Linked DNA regions of Cricetulus griseus. The protein of the gene in region 1 interacts with the protein of each later gene in a pairwise test. Links are inferred from orthologs where the notes say so. Each region holds a gene or a part of one and is shown in the gene's direction. Other genes may lie near its edges.

Region 1 (7,118 bases):
GGGCACTTGTCCAAAACTGGGTGTGGTAAGAAAGGACTTTGTAAGGGAGAGGGACTTCAGGAGTGATAGCACTAAGTCTGACACAGCAACTAGGGAGAAAGTGGAAATAAGTTTGAAGACCAGTGAAGGATGGATAGAAGGCGGTGTTGGCTGAGCCAGTGGGAGTAGGCACAGGTGTGTCACACAGAGTACAAGAATAGAAGCTGAGGAGCCTGACATAACCTGGGTTTGAATCCCAGCCCACCAGCACCAGTTGTGTTGATGTTGTATAAGTAACAATCTAAGCGTTGGATCCCTTGCCTTTAACTTGGCTAATAATAGCATCCGTACCATGAGTTGTTACGAGGATTGAATTAAATACAGCTTGTAAAACATCAGCTCTACACTGGCAGGTGGTTATCACTTAATAATTAAGCTAACAATAAACTCAGGGCAGCCCACATACATGGCACTTGCACTGTGGGGCTCTATGCTTCCCCGTTGCAAAGCCTGCCCAGCTCTGGCTCTGTGGCTTTCTTCATCTCCGTGCACTTACTCCCTCTCTTCAGCAGGGACATCAGAGATTCATGATCAGAAATCTCCTGTATCCTCTCTTTGCTGGGAACCCAACAACCAAAGCCTCCCAAAGCTGGCAAAGTTAATGACTTGGGTAACCTGGTCATAGTTCTGCCCGAAGGCCTCAAGTGCCTTATGAACTTGGAAGTACAGAATGCCACCAAAACACCACCTGCCTATGCTCTCTGGGATAATTTCCCCGGGGGTCCGTAGCTAAGCAGAACTATTCTCAAACATCCTGTGTTCCACTTGAGTCATCCTGGGAGCTGTGGGTGAAGGTGAAGGGTTTGGTGGTCTCTGTTTCACCGACTCACCAGGGCTGGGTTTACCAGACTGGCCTTGCCCTGCTGTGCCCTGCCTGTTGGTTCAAGGAGAGACACACTTGGAAGGTGTGGCAATGCTAGGCTTCTCGGGGTGTCCCAGGGAACTTGCAGCACAAGATTGGAACCCAGTAAGTGTTTGTTTATTATAGGGGAGTTCTAGCAATGCCTGAGTCAGGATTCTGAGATGGGAGCCAAGCACCCATGAGAGCCCTGAAGAGACTCTTAGTTCCCCCTGCAGACTGTTTCCAGGGAGGCCTGTTGATTTATTCTGTAATAATAATGACTATATAGAATATTTTATTTATGTATAATTCACAAAATATGAGATTGAATATCTATAATGTGTTGTCAACTGTAAAAAGTTCTGAACATTAAAAAAGTATTTTGTGTGTGTTTTTTAGGTGTATGAATGTTTTGCCTGTGTGTATGTCTGTGTTCCATGTATGTGTCTGATGCTCATGGAGGAGGCCAGAAGAGGGTGTCAGATTCCCCTGGAACTGGAGTTACAGATGGTTGTGGGTGGCTGTGTGGGTGCTAGATATTGAACTCAGGTCCTCTAGAAGAGCAGCTAGTGCTCTTACCTGCTGAACCATCTCTCCAGCCTCCTAATGTTTCCTTTCTTTTCTTTTCTCTCTCTGTTTTGAGACTGGATGTCCTCAAAATCACTATGTAGTCCAGGATGACCTTGAATGTCTGAACCTCCTGCCTCTGCCTCCCAAGTGCTGGGATTACAGATATGTGCCACCATTTCTGGTCCTACGTGGTGCTGGGGATAGAATCCAGGAGCTCATGTGTCTTAGGCAAACACTCCACCAACTAAGCTCTGCCGCTCATCCTGAGTCCTGCACCTTTAGTATGTTTATTTATTTAAGCCTCTAAACAAATACCCTGAGATAGGCTGTTATCTCTACATTGAAAGAACTGTGGCTATCGGAGAAGTGTGGAAACTATCCAAAATCTCACAGGGCCAGAATCTAGGTCTACCCACTACTGTATCACACCCAGTAGTTCAGTCCAGAAACTACTAAGTCCTGGGTATTGTGCTGTTTTGGGGACAGTGAAGAAGGAAGATGGCATTCAGGAAAATGCCATCCCCAGATCTGTTAGGTCCTTGGGACCTTCATCTCACCCTCTCTCTTTACTCTACCACTTCTAATCCAAATCTGAATCACTCCCTTGACTGAATCTGTCACTGAACCATGACAACAACTCAGTTTATGACTTTCCAAAAGCTGTCCTTTCCAGTCTAAATACAGACTCCCTAGGTGTCTTCTCTCTCTCTCTCTCTCTCTCTCTCTCTCTCTCTCTCTCTCTCTCTCTTTCTCTCTCTCCCTCTCTCCACAAGACCGGGTTTCTCTGTGGCTTTGGAGGCTGTCCTGGAACTAGCTCTTGTAGACCAGGCTGGTCTCGAACTCACAGAGATCTGCCTGCCTCTGCCTCCGGAGTGCTGGGATTAAAGGTGTGTGCCACCACCACCACCACCACCACCACCACCACCACCCAGTGACCCAGGTGCCTTCTGCATACTTCCCACTTGATGGTTTCCCAACAATGCTAACTCCACAAGTTCAAAGCCCCTCCTCTCCAACACATGCTCTGCCTCCTGCATTCTGCCTCAAGTGGTGACACTCCCACCCAACACTGAGTGTCATCTTGTTTTGCTTGAGACAGGGTTTCTCTGTGTAACCCTGGAACTAGCTCTGTAGACCAGGCTGGCCTCAAACTCACAGAGGTCCACCTGTCTCTGCCTCCCAAATGCTGGGATTAAAAGTGTAGGTCACCACCACGGTTTGAGTGTCACTTTTGGTGTCTTTCTCCTCACCCACTCAGCCAATCTATTGCCAAGTCCTGTCCATTTTCTTCCTAAACATCTTTCAAATTCTGCTCGTCTCCTCCCCACAGCCTGTGCCCTGGGTCAGGCCCAAACTCCTGCATTTCAGCCTCTTCTAGTTTCTGTCTCCAGTCTTATCTCCCATTAACCCATCCTTATAATGAATATGTGCACATCCTTCCTTGTCCCAAACCTTTCAGTGTTTCCTCTTTATCTGCAGGGGTGAAGTCCAAGTTCCTTATTTGATATGACCCTTACATTTTACAACCTCCTCTCAGGTCATTCCCTGCTTTAAACCATTTACTGTGGGCCTAAGATCAGCCATAGGTAGGACACCTGCACAGTGTCCTCTTGAAAAGGGTCATAATTTTTTTTTTTTAAACAAGGAATCTCACATTCCACTTCGTGTTGGACCGACCACACATGAGCTGCCAGTGTCCCCTGCCTGTCTTTCCCCTGAACTCCCCTTGCAGTGTGTGGTCTGTAAAGTTTGGATAGTCTCTTCCACCGGGAACACCGTTTCCACACATCGTCCTTCCTCTGCTGCTTTTCCTCTAATTCTCAATGCGAGTGTCTCGTCCTCTCCCTTCCCTAATCTCCCAACAAGAATCAGGGGCTTAAAACCCATGTCTATCAGATAAACGAAATGGGAGGACAAAGCGTGACAAGCGCCTACGATCTTCTATAGGTGGTAACGGGAACCGGAAGAAAATAATTTCAACTGCTTTCAAAAAGCCCTCCGGACGGCGCTAGGACCCTGTCCGCGGACGTGTTCGTTCTCCAGCAGGGGGCTCTGCGCCCGGCAGGGCACAAGCCGCCTACACCGGCTCTTGGGTGCCCCCTACCGCCTTCGCGCCAGCGCTGCAGCCCTTCCAGAAGCTCACGGCGCCCGAGCCCGCCTCTCGCCTCCCATTGGCTGTCCGCCCATCCGGTACTCAGCCATTCAGAACCTCTTGGTGGGCGGGGATTCCAGCAGGGGGCGGAGCGTGGGCTCGGATTGGCTCCGCGGAAGACGACGACGTGGCTGAAGGAGGCCGGTTTGTTTCTGAAGCGGGGCTCCCGCACGCCGGCTCAGGATTGGTGCCGGGCCGGGCCGGGGTCTTGGCCGGAAGCGGAAGTGGAGAAAGGATGCAGGTGTGGGGAGCAGGGCTGGAGAAACTGGGGTGTGCTCTGGGACCCCTGTCCTGCTTCCTCAGCCCCTCCTGGCCTCAGCCGGGCGCTCTGGTCCTGCAGGTTGGCGGTTGGGTGTGTGCAATGAGCGCGCGCGAGGCACGGTGCCTTCCCGCGTTCACGCCCCCCTACCTGTCGTGTTTCCCACCAGGACCATCAGCACGTGCCCATCGACATCCAGACCAGCAAGCTGCTCGGTAGGAGAGGCGCCCCCGCGCGGTTGGCTGTCGGGGAGGCCTGCTACTTGCCCACTGTCACCAGCAGCCAGGAGCTGTCAAAGTCTGGGTTGAGGTGCCTTACTGTGGCCCGACTTGTTTGAAGGAAGCATATGGAAAGCCTTTACTGGCTCCTTGTTTTCTACTTTTAACATTTGTAACGTAGTATCAAATCCTATTCGGGCACACAGGACAAGTGGCTAGCGTTAAAGATGGGCAGTTACCAAATGGCCTATCCATTTGGACCTAGGTCTCTTTGGTTCTGGCTTCGTACTTTTTGCGTTATTTTGGGGTGGGAAGACCCCTCCCACTTACTTTTAAAGTTTCAATTCCCCTTTGAATTTATGGGTAAGAGGAACCTAAGATCTTTTGTACCAGGGATGGTGGCTCATGCTGGTAACCATGACACTTAGGAGGCTGAGGCAGGAGGATTGCTGGCACTTCTCAGACAGACTGGTTTACATAGCAAGTACCAGCCTGGCCAGGAACACTTAGCAATATCAGTACCCGGCCTTTAGTCCCAGCACTTGGGAGGCAGAGGCCAGCCTGGTCTCCATAGCAAATCTAAGACAGCTAGGACTGCATGGAGAGATCCTAAAGACAGGCCCTCTCTGTCGCTTGTTTATTTCCCTCATTCTGTCACTGCTGTACATGTGCACAGCTCCTGGCACCTTAAATGTTCCCTGATTCCTCAGTCCAGTGTTAATCATTTCCCTAAGAGGGTATTTGACGACTTCAGCCCCTTGTGATTCTGACCTCTACCGTTTTTCTTTCCGACAATTTTAAAGGAACACAGCAGAAACAGAATTTCTGATACTACTGAAGCTTGAGATACAAATATCTCAGTTGACAGATTTGTCAACAAGGCCACCTTTTTAAATTTACCACTATGAGAGGGGAACATTCAGTCCTGGTGAAGCTTCTGCCTTAGCTAAGTGCTGGGGTTATAGGCCAGGGCCACTGTATAGTCATAGTGTGTGAACACACTATGCACCCACCCTGGTGTTGGAGCTCAATCTCCATTCATGAGAAAGAACCAGTAGAAAACTGTTTACTGACCACTTGGGAGGCAGAGGCAGGCGGATCTCTGTGAGTTCGAGGCCAGCCTGGTCTCCAGAGCGAGTGCCAGGATAGGCTCCAAAGCTACACAGAGAAACCCTGTCTCGAAAAACAAACAAACAACAAAAAAAAAAGAAAGAAAGAAAGAAAGAAAGAAAGAAAGAAAGAAAGAAAGCTGTTTACTGAATGTTTGCTCCATACCAAGTCCATTGTATACTTGTCTTTATTAAAACGAAACCACTAAGATGTACTGAGTCACTGCTATGCACAAGGCACAGTATTGAGCACATCATCTTACGTGTGGGGAAGCTGAGGCACAGAGAGGATGAAACTTGATTGAGGAACTTGATATTTAGAGCCAGCAAGATGACTCGGTAGTAAATGTTCTTTACTGCCAAACCTGATGATCTGAGTTGACAGTCAGGACCCGCATGGTGGAAGGAGAGAACTGGCTCCCAGAAGTTGTCCTCTGACCTCCACTTGTGAGCTGTGGCACATGTGTGCTCCAACACACACATAACATGCACAGTGTATATAAATTAACAAATATAAGATTTTGTTTGTTTGTTTTTTGTCTTTCGAGACAGGGTTTCTCTGTGGCTTTGGAGCCTATCCTGGAACTAGCTCTTGTAGACCAGGCTGGCCTCGAATTCACAGAGATCCACCTACCTCTGCCTCCTGAGTGCTGGGATTAAAGGCATGCGCCACCAACACCCGGCTCCAAATATTATAAGTTTTTAATAAAATATCTTAAATAAACTTGATAATTCAACCCCAGGACCATTTAACTGTAAAACCTTAGTTCTCTCCTTAGGAGATGATCATGACTCTTAGGCCTCAAAACCAGGTCAGTTATACTGGTAGTCATATGGCAGCATGGCACTTCACTGTTAAGAACAGACCAGCAACTAGGCTGGGTGGTGGTGGAACACGCCTTTAATCACAGCACTGGAGAGGCAGAGGCAGGCTCTGTGAGTTCAAGGGCATTGTGGTCTACATAGTGAGTTCCAGGACAGCTAGGGCTCTATAGAGAGACCTTGTCTAAGAAAGAAAGAAAGAAAGAAAGAAAGAAAGAAAGAAAGAAAGAAAGAAAGAAAGAAAGAACGAACGAACCATCAGCTAACATTATCCAGTTCTTGGGGCACTGTAGGTCTTAGGGGCTTTGCAGTTGTTCATTCATCCGGTACTTGGCATAACCACCGTGTGTTTTTCATTGTCCTGGTTAATCCCAGCCCTGAGGAAATGGAAGTTGAGCAGCACCCTCTGTCAACAAGAAAGATATAATTACCCACAGAAGCAAAATATTATGGAGAATTTAGAATGGTCAAAAGTGGCACTTTCATGTCAGGACCAATTTAAAGTTTTTCTTGATCCCTGTGTTGAGGCAGTTGCTCTGTAAAACTTATACTGGGGATAAAGTCAGGGCGCCGGAGCTTGTTTAGCCCAAGCACCTCTCAGAGTCTGTCTGCCTTTTCATCTTGCCAGTTCTCCCTCTGATACCTTAGCCAATACAAAAACAGCTGCTGTTCAATATCCAGTATGTGACACTTGAACTAGTGAATTCCTGATGGGGGGTTGGAGGTGTGGCAGGCTGTGGCAACTAAACTGATTCTCACGCAGATTGGCTAGTGGACAGACGACACTGCAACCTAAAATGGCAAAGTCTGGTGCTGACCATCCGGGAGAAAATCAACACTGCCATCCAGGACATGCCAGAGAGCCAAGAGATTGCCCAGCTGCTATCTGGGTCTTGTGAGTGATTAGGAGCCTTGTCACTGGAGTCCCCCTCCCTCCTGGAGCCCTGTGTGTCTACCAGGCCATTCCCTTATTGAGCCACCAGGGCTGACCCCAGCCAGAGAGATTGTTTTGTTTTGTTTTCTGGTTTGTAGATGCTGGTTTCTTCCATGCTAAAATAACTGGCAGCAGTATACGTGGGTCAGCCACCTGCAATAGCCAAAGGAAGGA
Region 2 (7,118 bases), on another chromosome or scaffold:
CTGTGTGCTAGTGCATGGAACGATGTTAAAAAAAAAACAACAAAAAAAACAAACAAACATTTTAGTTCCAACAATGAAGCCGTTTCTTCCTAATTAGCCAGAAATCACACGTGTCTGGAATCATTGGTAAACAATCAATGAGAAAGGAGTATTGTGGCTAAGTACTTTGGTTTCTAATCTTTGATCATTTAACTTGCATTCTTGGTGAAACTCAACTCTTTTCTTTCCCAAGTTTTCACTTATTTTCTTCATTCTATACACTGCTATAGCCTGTAGTTGTTGTATAATAGAATTTGATATTTGTACTGCCTGCAATATAGTCTATTTACTATAGGTATTCTTAGTATAAAAATAACGAAAATGGCCCAGTTGTCTTTTGCATATCTCAGTTCAGGTACCTTTTTCCTTCTTTATGATAGTTCTGTATGTAAATGTTATTTTGTTCATTTTATACAAGGGTACTGTGGCTTTGTCAAGTGAAACAACTTACCCACTCCAACCAATTTGTTAACCAGCACAACTAGGACTTGACTCCACAGTTTATGTTTTGGACTGGGGTCCTGGCGCAGTGGTAGAGAGCTTGTCTCACTTACTTGTGGTCCTGAGTTCAAATCCCAGTGCGACCACTACCACCGAAATAACAATTAAAAAAATCAAAATAACAGAGTGTATTTGCATAACCAATCCAGGTGTGAGAGGGAGGTCATCCAGTCAGGTCTTTTTCTCTTTCATTCTTTCTTTCTTTCTTTCTTTCTTTCTTTCTTTCTTTCTTTCTTTCTTTCTATGCATTGGAGAAAGCAAGGGCACATGAGTTTTGTTTTATTATTTTTAATGGAAAATATCACAGGGAACTATCATAAATACAAAAGTCTAAGAAAAAATTTTAATAGTTATAGGTTAAGTAGAATAAGGACTATATAGTTTAGCCTTTATAGTAGAATTTAAATACTGAATTTATGCTGAAAAGACATGCCACAGTTATGTCAATGAACTTATGATCTAAAATTGCCATAAATATTTTCTTCAGAATAGAGAAAATTCTACGTCAAATGCTGACAAACTAGAGCTAGATTTTTTCTCAAATTTTTGATTTAAGTTAGAAACAAGATTGTTTTACATGTCAATCCCCTCCCCTCCTCCCCTTCCCCCCACTAACACCCTACCTATCCCATACCATTTCTGCTCCCCAGGGAGGGTGAGGCCTTCCATGTGGGATCTTCAGAGTCTATCATATCCTTTGGGACAGGGCTCCCCTGTGTGTCTAGGATGAGGGAGTATCCCTCTATGTGGAATGGGCTCCCAAAGTCCATTCCTATACTAGGGATAAGTACTGATTTACTACAAGGGGCCCCATAGATTTCCAAGGCCTGCTCACTGACACTCACATTCATGGGGTCTGGATCAGTTCCATGCTGTTTCCCCAGCTATCAGTCTGGGGGCCAAGAGTTCCCCCTTGTTCAGGTCACCTATTTCTGTGGGTTTCACCAGCCTGGTTTTGACTCCTTTGCTCATCAATCCTCCTCTGCAACTGGATTCCAGTTCAGTTCAGTGTTAAGCTGTGGGTGCCTGCCTCTACTTCCATCAGCTGCTAGATAAAGCTCCTGGATGGCATATAAGTTAGTTATCAATCTCATTATCAGGAGAGGGCATTTAAGGTAGTCTCTCCATTGGTGCTTAGATTGTTAGTTGGTGTCATCCCTGTAGATCTCTGGACATTTCCCTAGTGCCTGATTTCTCTTTAAACATATAATGGCTCCCTCTCTTATGGTATCTCTTATTTTGCTCTTCTCTATTCTTCCCCCTATACAACCTTCCTGGTCCCTTATGTCCTCCTCACCCCTCTTCTTCTCCCTTTCTCATTCTCCTAGTTCCCACTCCCCTCCTCCATGCTCCCAATTTGCTCAGGAGATCTTGTCCCTTTCCCCTTCCCCGGGAAAGGACATGTATGTCTCTCGTAGAGTCTTCCTTGTTGCCTAGCTTCTCTGGTGGTTTTGATTATAGGCTGGAAATCCTTTGCTCTATGTGTAAAATCCATATGTCAGAGAGTGCATAGCATGTTTGTCTTTTTGTGACTGGGTTACCTCGCTCAGGATGGTTTCTTCTAGTTCCATCCATTTGCCTGCAATTTTCAAGATGCCATTGTTTTTTTTTTTCTGCTGAGTAGTACTCCATTGTGTAAATGTACCACATTTTCTGTATCCATTCTTCAGTTGAGGGGCATCTAGGTTGCTTCCAGGTTCTGGCTATTACAAACAATGCTGCTATGAACATAGTTGAACAGATGTCCTTGTTGTATGAATGTGCATCTTTTGTGTATATGCCTAAGAGTGGAATTGCTGGATCTTGTAGTAGACTGATTCCCATTTTCCTGAGGAATTGCCATACTGATTTCCAAAGTTAGAGCCAGATTTTTAATATTATCTTAAAGGCTGATTCCTCCCAGCTAGGGACCAGGAATGGAAATAGCTTATGTACAAGTGTTAAAACAAACAAACAAAAAACAAAACCAGAATGTGTGTTTACCACTTCTTAGTTGTGGGACTAATTATGGTTATTACAGTAAGTGTGTGTGGGCATTTATAGGAACTTCAGGGATGCTTGTCACTGAGACCATTCCTTCTATAAAATTATCACCCAGTGTTAAGCCTTCCCATTGACAAGACGTTTTCAGGCATGCACAGCACTTTGCACATGAAGCCAGAAATGACACTGTTTGAATATATGGCACATTTAGAATAATTTCCTGATTCATCTACACTAACACCATCGATGGTGAAACACACTGTATGTGAAACTAATCTTGTTTGCGCATTTTTATTTTATTTGGACAATTGATTTATTTTCTAGCAGGAAGAGGTCAATCTGAATATCCTGTCTTTGAGTAGGGACAGTTAACTTTGGATTAAAAAGAAAAAAATCAAACTGAATGATATTCCGTTCATTGTTCACCAGAGACTTTGTCATCACTTTCCAGTCTTAGTTGAACCAAGTACCACCACTTTCCTCACTAGAGTTCTTGGGGGAATGCTATTTTTCTTTAAACTCTTATTTCCAGAGTTGTATTTGAGCATAACCATACTCTGGGGGAGAGTCAATTAATCCCCCAATGTAAAGAGCTTGTTCTAATAGGAATTGAAACATTAAATATGCAGAATTTTAACAAACTAAGAGACAGTGTGATTACAAATAAATTCTCTAAGTTGACTTAAATGCATGACCTTTCTTTTTTTTTTTAAGTAGCTACTTTAAAGAGACAATAATTCAGCTGTCAAAAAAAGTGATAATTGTTTCTACTATTACAAAAGCAAATTTGGGCAAATGTTTGTTGGCTTCATATCCATGAAGCAGAAACTAAGATTATAACCCAAGACAAAGGAGCATTAATATGCATCGTTTTAGAAATTAAAGTCCTCTGAGATTGTATTTCCTCCAGAAATACCTAAGGGCTAAATTTGTGCATATGGCATTCGTGTGGCCACCTGTAAATAAGGAGCAGTTTAAACTATTCGTTTAAAAGTGAATAAATATCCAATTGCTTCATAAACGTTGGTCAATGTATACAAACATCAAAATGGTTACAGAAATTGAAATGTATCTTTTGACTGTCTTGTTTGCATGAAAATGGAAACAGTAACGACACTTCCTTTTCAAAATCAGATTCTGCGCAATTCCTCAGTAACCGCCATGACTCTGTGTCCCAAATAAGGAAGGCCTATGAGATGGTGAATTCGCTTTTCTATTTCTGAGGAGCTCGATGAGATCTGATTTTATTAGACAATAGCTCCTATTTTTTAATTTATTGCGTTTAGGTACTGTCGAAATTAATTCAGAGATTTACGAATACACATTAATATAATTCTGCATCCATTTATGTAAATGAACGCAATGTCCCAGAGAAGATTAAATTTACAGCATCTTATAAAAAGACAAAAAGAATACACTTGATTGACAAGCATAATTACCTGGGTAGCGAATTCTCGCGCTACAGTTAGCCGCAGCTGCTACTCTGACGTCACAGGTTGCCATGGTAGCAGCAGCCCTGAAGGAAAAGGGGTGGAGCTAAACACTCACTGCGGTGCTGCGCTGCGTCTGCAGAGGACAAGGAAGGCTCCTCTGCAGGGCTGACATCTTCCAAAATGAGCGGCCTGGATGAGGGCAATGAGCTCCCTCTCACTAACACCACGACCCCTGCCCCTGCCCGGGAAGATCTGGATCTGAATCAGGATCAGGGGCTCTGCGAGGAAACTGACGCAGCAGCGCGGGCGATGGAGGCTGCAGGTGAGGCCGGTGCGGAGGGAGGCGCGCCCCCGGATTCCGAGCACTGCGGACCTGCGCTTTGCCCTGCAGTGTCTGAGAATCATGGTGCTGAGGCGGCCGGAGAGGGGCTGGAGGATGCTCTGTCTCCATCAAAGGGCGGGGATGGAGCCTCAGCCCCTGCGGCAGTTGATGACAGCAATAAAAATGGCTGTCAGCTTGGAGGGCCGCGCAGCCCTGCTGGGCCGAAAGCTCTGGAAGCCTGTGGTGCCGTGGGCCTGGGGTCTCAGATGATGCCGGGGGTGAAGAAGACCAAGGAAATGATGGCGACGAAGTGCGCCATCTCTGCGCCCGCGGGAAAGGAGGGAGAAGCAGGGGCGGCGATGCCGGAAAAGAAGGGGGTACCGAAAGAAAAAAAGGTAGCTGGAGGAGGGAAGGAGGAGAATCGTCCTAGGCCCCCGAAGATCAATAATTGCATGGACTCGCTGGAGGCCATCGATCAAGAGCTGTCAAATGTAAATGCGCAGGCCGACAGGGCCTTCCTCCAGCTGGAACGCAAATTCGGGCGGATGAGAAGGCTGCACATGCAGCGCCGAAGTTTCATCATCCAAAATATCCCAGGTTTCTGGGTCACCGCTTTTCGGAACCACCCCCAGCTGTCACCAATGATCAGTGGCCAAGATGAAGACATGATGAGATACATGATCAATTTAGAGGTGGAGGAGCTTAAGCACCCAAGAGCAGGCTGCAAGTTTAAGTTCATCTTTCAAAGCAACCCCTACTTCCGAAACGAGGGGCTGGTCAAGGAATATGAGCGCAGATCCTCCGGTCGAGTGGTGTCGCTCTCTACTCCAATCCGCTGGCACCGGGGCCAAGAACCCCAGGCCCATATCCACAGGAATCGTGAGGGGAACACGATTCCCAGTTTCTTCAATTGGTTCTCAGACCACAGCCTCCTAGAATTCGACAGAATAGCTGAAATTATCAAAGGGGAGCTATGGTCCAATCCCCTGCAATACTATCTGATGGGCGATGGGCCACGCAGAGGAGTTCGAGTCCCACCAAGACAGCCAGTGGAGAGTCCCAGGTCCTTCAGGTTCCAGTCTGGCTAAACTCTGCCCTTTCAAGAAGCTCCTGCAGGAGAGTCCTACCATCTCCTCGGCTTGGCTAGCAGCATGCAGCCTTCTGTCTGCTTTCTCTTCCTGTTGGATTGTGTCCTTTGGTTCTTCTAAGTCTCCAGTAGTTTCAAGACTGTGGCTTCCAAGTCTGTGCTCTTCTTTCTCTAGGCCATCATGACATTCTGCATAGTGTTAATGGTGTTCCAAGTGCATGGCCTCCGAACTGCTTCTATGCCAAGCTCACAGTGCTGTAGTGTGTACTGCCTTCCTTTGCATGGCTTGGTTCCTGTCTGTGACCATGTCTTCTTCCAGTTTTGAAAAGTGGTTCTCTACCACAAGAAAGCTTGACACATCCTTACCAAGAACTAGCCAGGTTTCATACTGTGTCCCTGATGTCTATGTACTGTGATGAAGTGTGACTTTCACCACTGCAAGATGGAACTGTATCCCAACCCAGCCGTCAGCCCAACAGGACATTCCAACTGATTCTAGCTGTCTTCTTGGGCCTTTGCTCTTTGCCCTGCTTGTTATTAGTATAAAGGCTGGTGGGTGACTACTAGTCATGAGTGAAGTAACAGTCGAGGAGTGTTTTATGTTTCCACATTGGTCTTGTACCTTTGGTTACTGTGCATCGTGATCAGCTACTGGTGAGTATGAAGACCTGTGCAATTGCCCACCAGTTCTCTTCTGGTTGAGCTTTGCACAGGCCAACACTGTTCCTCAGGAACTAATGACCTAAGCTCCTAGGCAGCACACAGGATCACTTACAGTATGTAGCATTGCTCACGACTCAGTTGGCTATTGGGCAGGATGTGTAGTCACATGTGGCAGTGCCCAAGGCAAACTGGAGTGGCTCCCTTCTAGCAGTTAGTTTCTTCTGAGCCCTAGCCAATAAATTATTCCGAATCCAGGCAACTTTGTTAGGTAACCCCCCTCTTCCTTCGTCCACACCCACTCTGATTAAGTCCAAGCTGCCTAGGTCAGGGTGGTTAGAAATCATTTGTGGCACACAGGGTTTGCTGTGTCTTTCTCTCACTGACTCTTCTCTCTTTTTTTTTTCCCTGTTCTTTTCTCTTTGAAGCAGTTACAGCCAGAGACAGAAAAAACTGGCAGCAGGGTTTTTTTTTTCCTCCCTCCCCCATTGTTCACAGGCAGAAAAAAAAGGTACTGTAGTGTCCAAATCTCTTGCTGCCCTCACTATTTCACACTTCTCTTAGCAACATTTGAAAATGTCAAGGGAGACAACCTCCACTCTTCCCTCCTAACCCTTTCTACCATACGCTGTGTATTTCTTAAGCTCTAGTTTGAGAATCTGGGAGAAGAGAAAGAACACTTTCAATGACAGACTGTACCTCCGTGTTGCAGAATGTGAACGAACCAGCTATGACTGCACCTGTTTCTAAAGCCGCCTGGTCTTTGGGCCTCAGCCTGTAGAATGATCAGAGAGCAGCCATGTGTGTCATTCCTGTTCAGTTTGTCCGACCTTGGCCCTTCTTTATCAGTTTTTGAATTTCCTTCCTTGTTTCCATCCTAACAAAGGAGGGAGTGGGCTGTAGAGTGCATTGTGGGAGACTCCAAGCCTCTTCTGAGGGATGGGGGATGTGAGGAGTCTGGGTTTACAGGACATGCTCCAGTAGGTACACAGCAGTGACAGAGGCTCCTAGTTCTGAGCCTGCAGCTGTCACCCTCATCCATTCCCTTTCTGCCTTAAAGGACTTGTCGGAAGCTCCTCCAGGTCTCAGGAGA

The links. The genes of interacting proteins can lie anywhere in the genome.
Region 2: the proteins of Cdk5rap3 (region 1) and Tspyl4 interact in binary tests that used the Homo sapiens proteins (3 or more experiments, as listed by UniProt). The two-hybrid records come from large-scale screens. The link is inferred for Cricetulus griseus from reciprocal best matches to the Homo sapiens genes CDK5RAP3 and TSPYL4.

What each region holds. Positions count from the first base shown.
Region 1 is NC_048600.1:110,064,873-110,071,990, reverse strand, and holds the start of Cdk5rap3 (CDK5 regulatory subunit-associated protein 3), read left to right. Parts: upstream 1-3,690; 5' UTR 3,691-3,837; coding exon 3,838-3,843; intron 3,844-3,865; exon of another isoform or gene 3,866-3,942; intron 3,943-4,030; coding exon 4,031-4,076; intron 4,077-6,773; coding exon 6,774-6,905; intron 6,906-7,118. UniProt on the Homo sapiens protein: Substrate adapter of E3 ligase complexes mediating ufmylation, the covalent attachment of the ubiquitin-like modifier UFM1 to substrate proteins, and which is involved in various processes, such as ribosome recycling and reticulophagy (also called ER-phagy).
Region 2 is NC_048595.1:257,688,973-257,696,090, forward strand, and holds the start of Tspyl4 (testis-specific Y-encoded-like protein 4), read left to right. Parts: upstream 1-2,322; 5' UTR 2,323-4,136; coding exon 4,137-5,366; 3' UTR 5,367-7,118.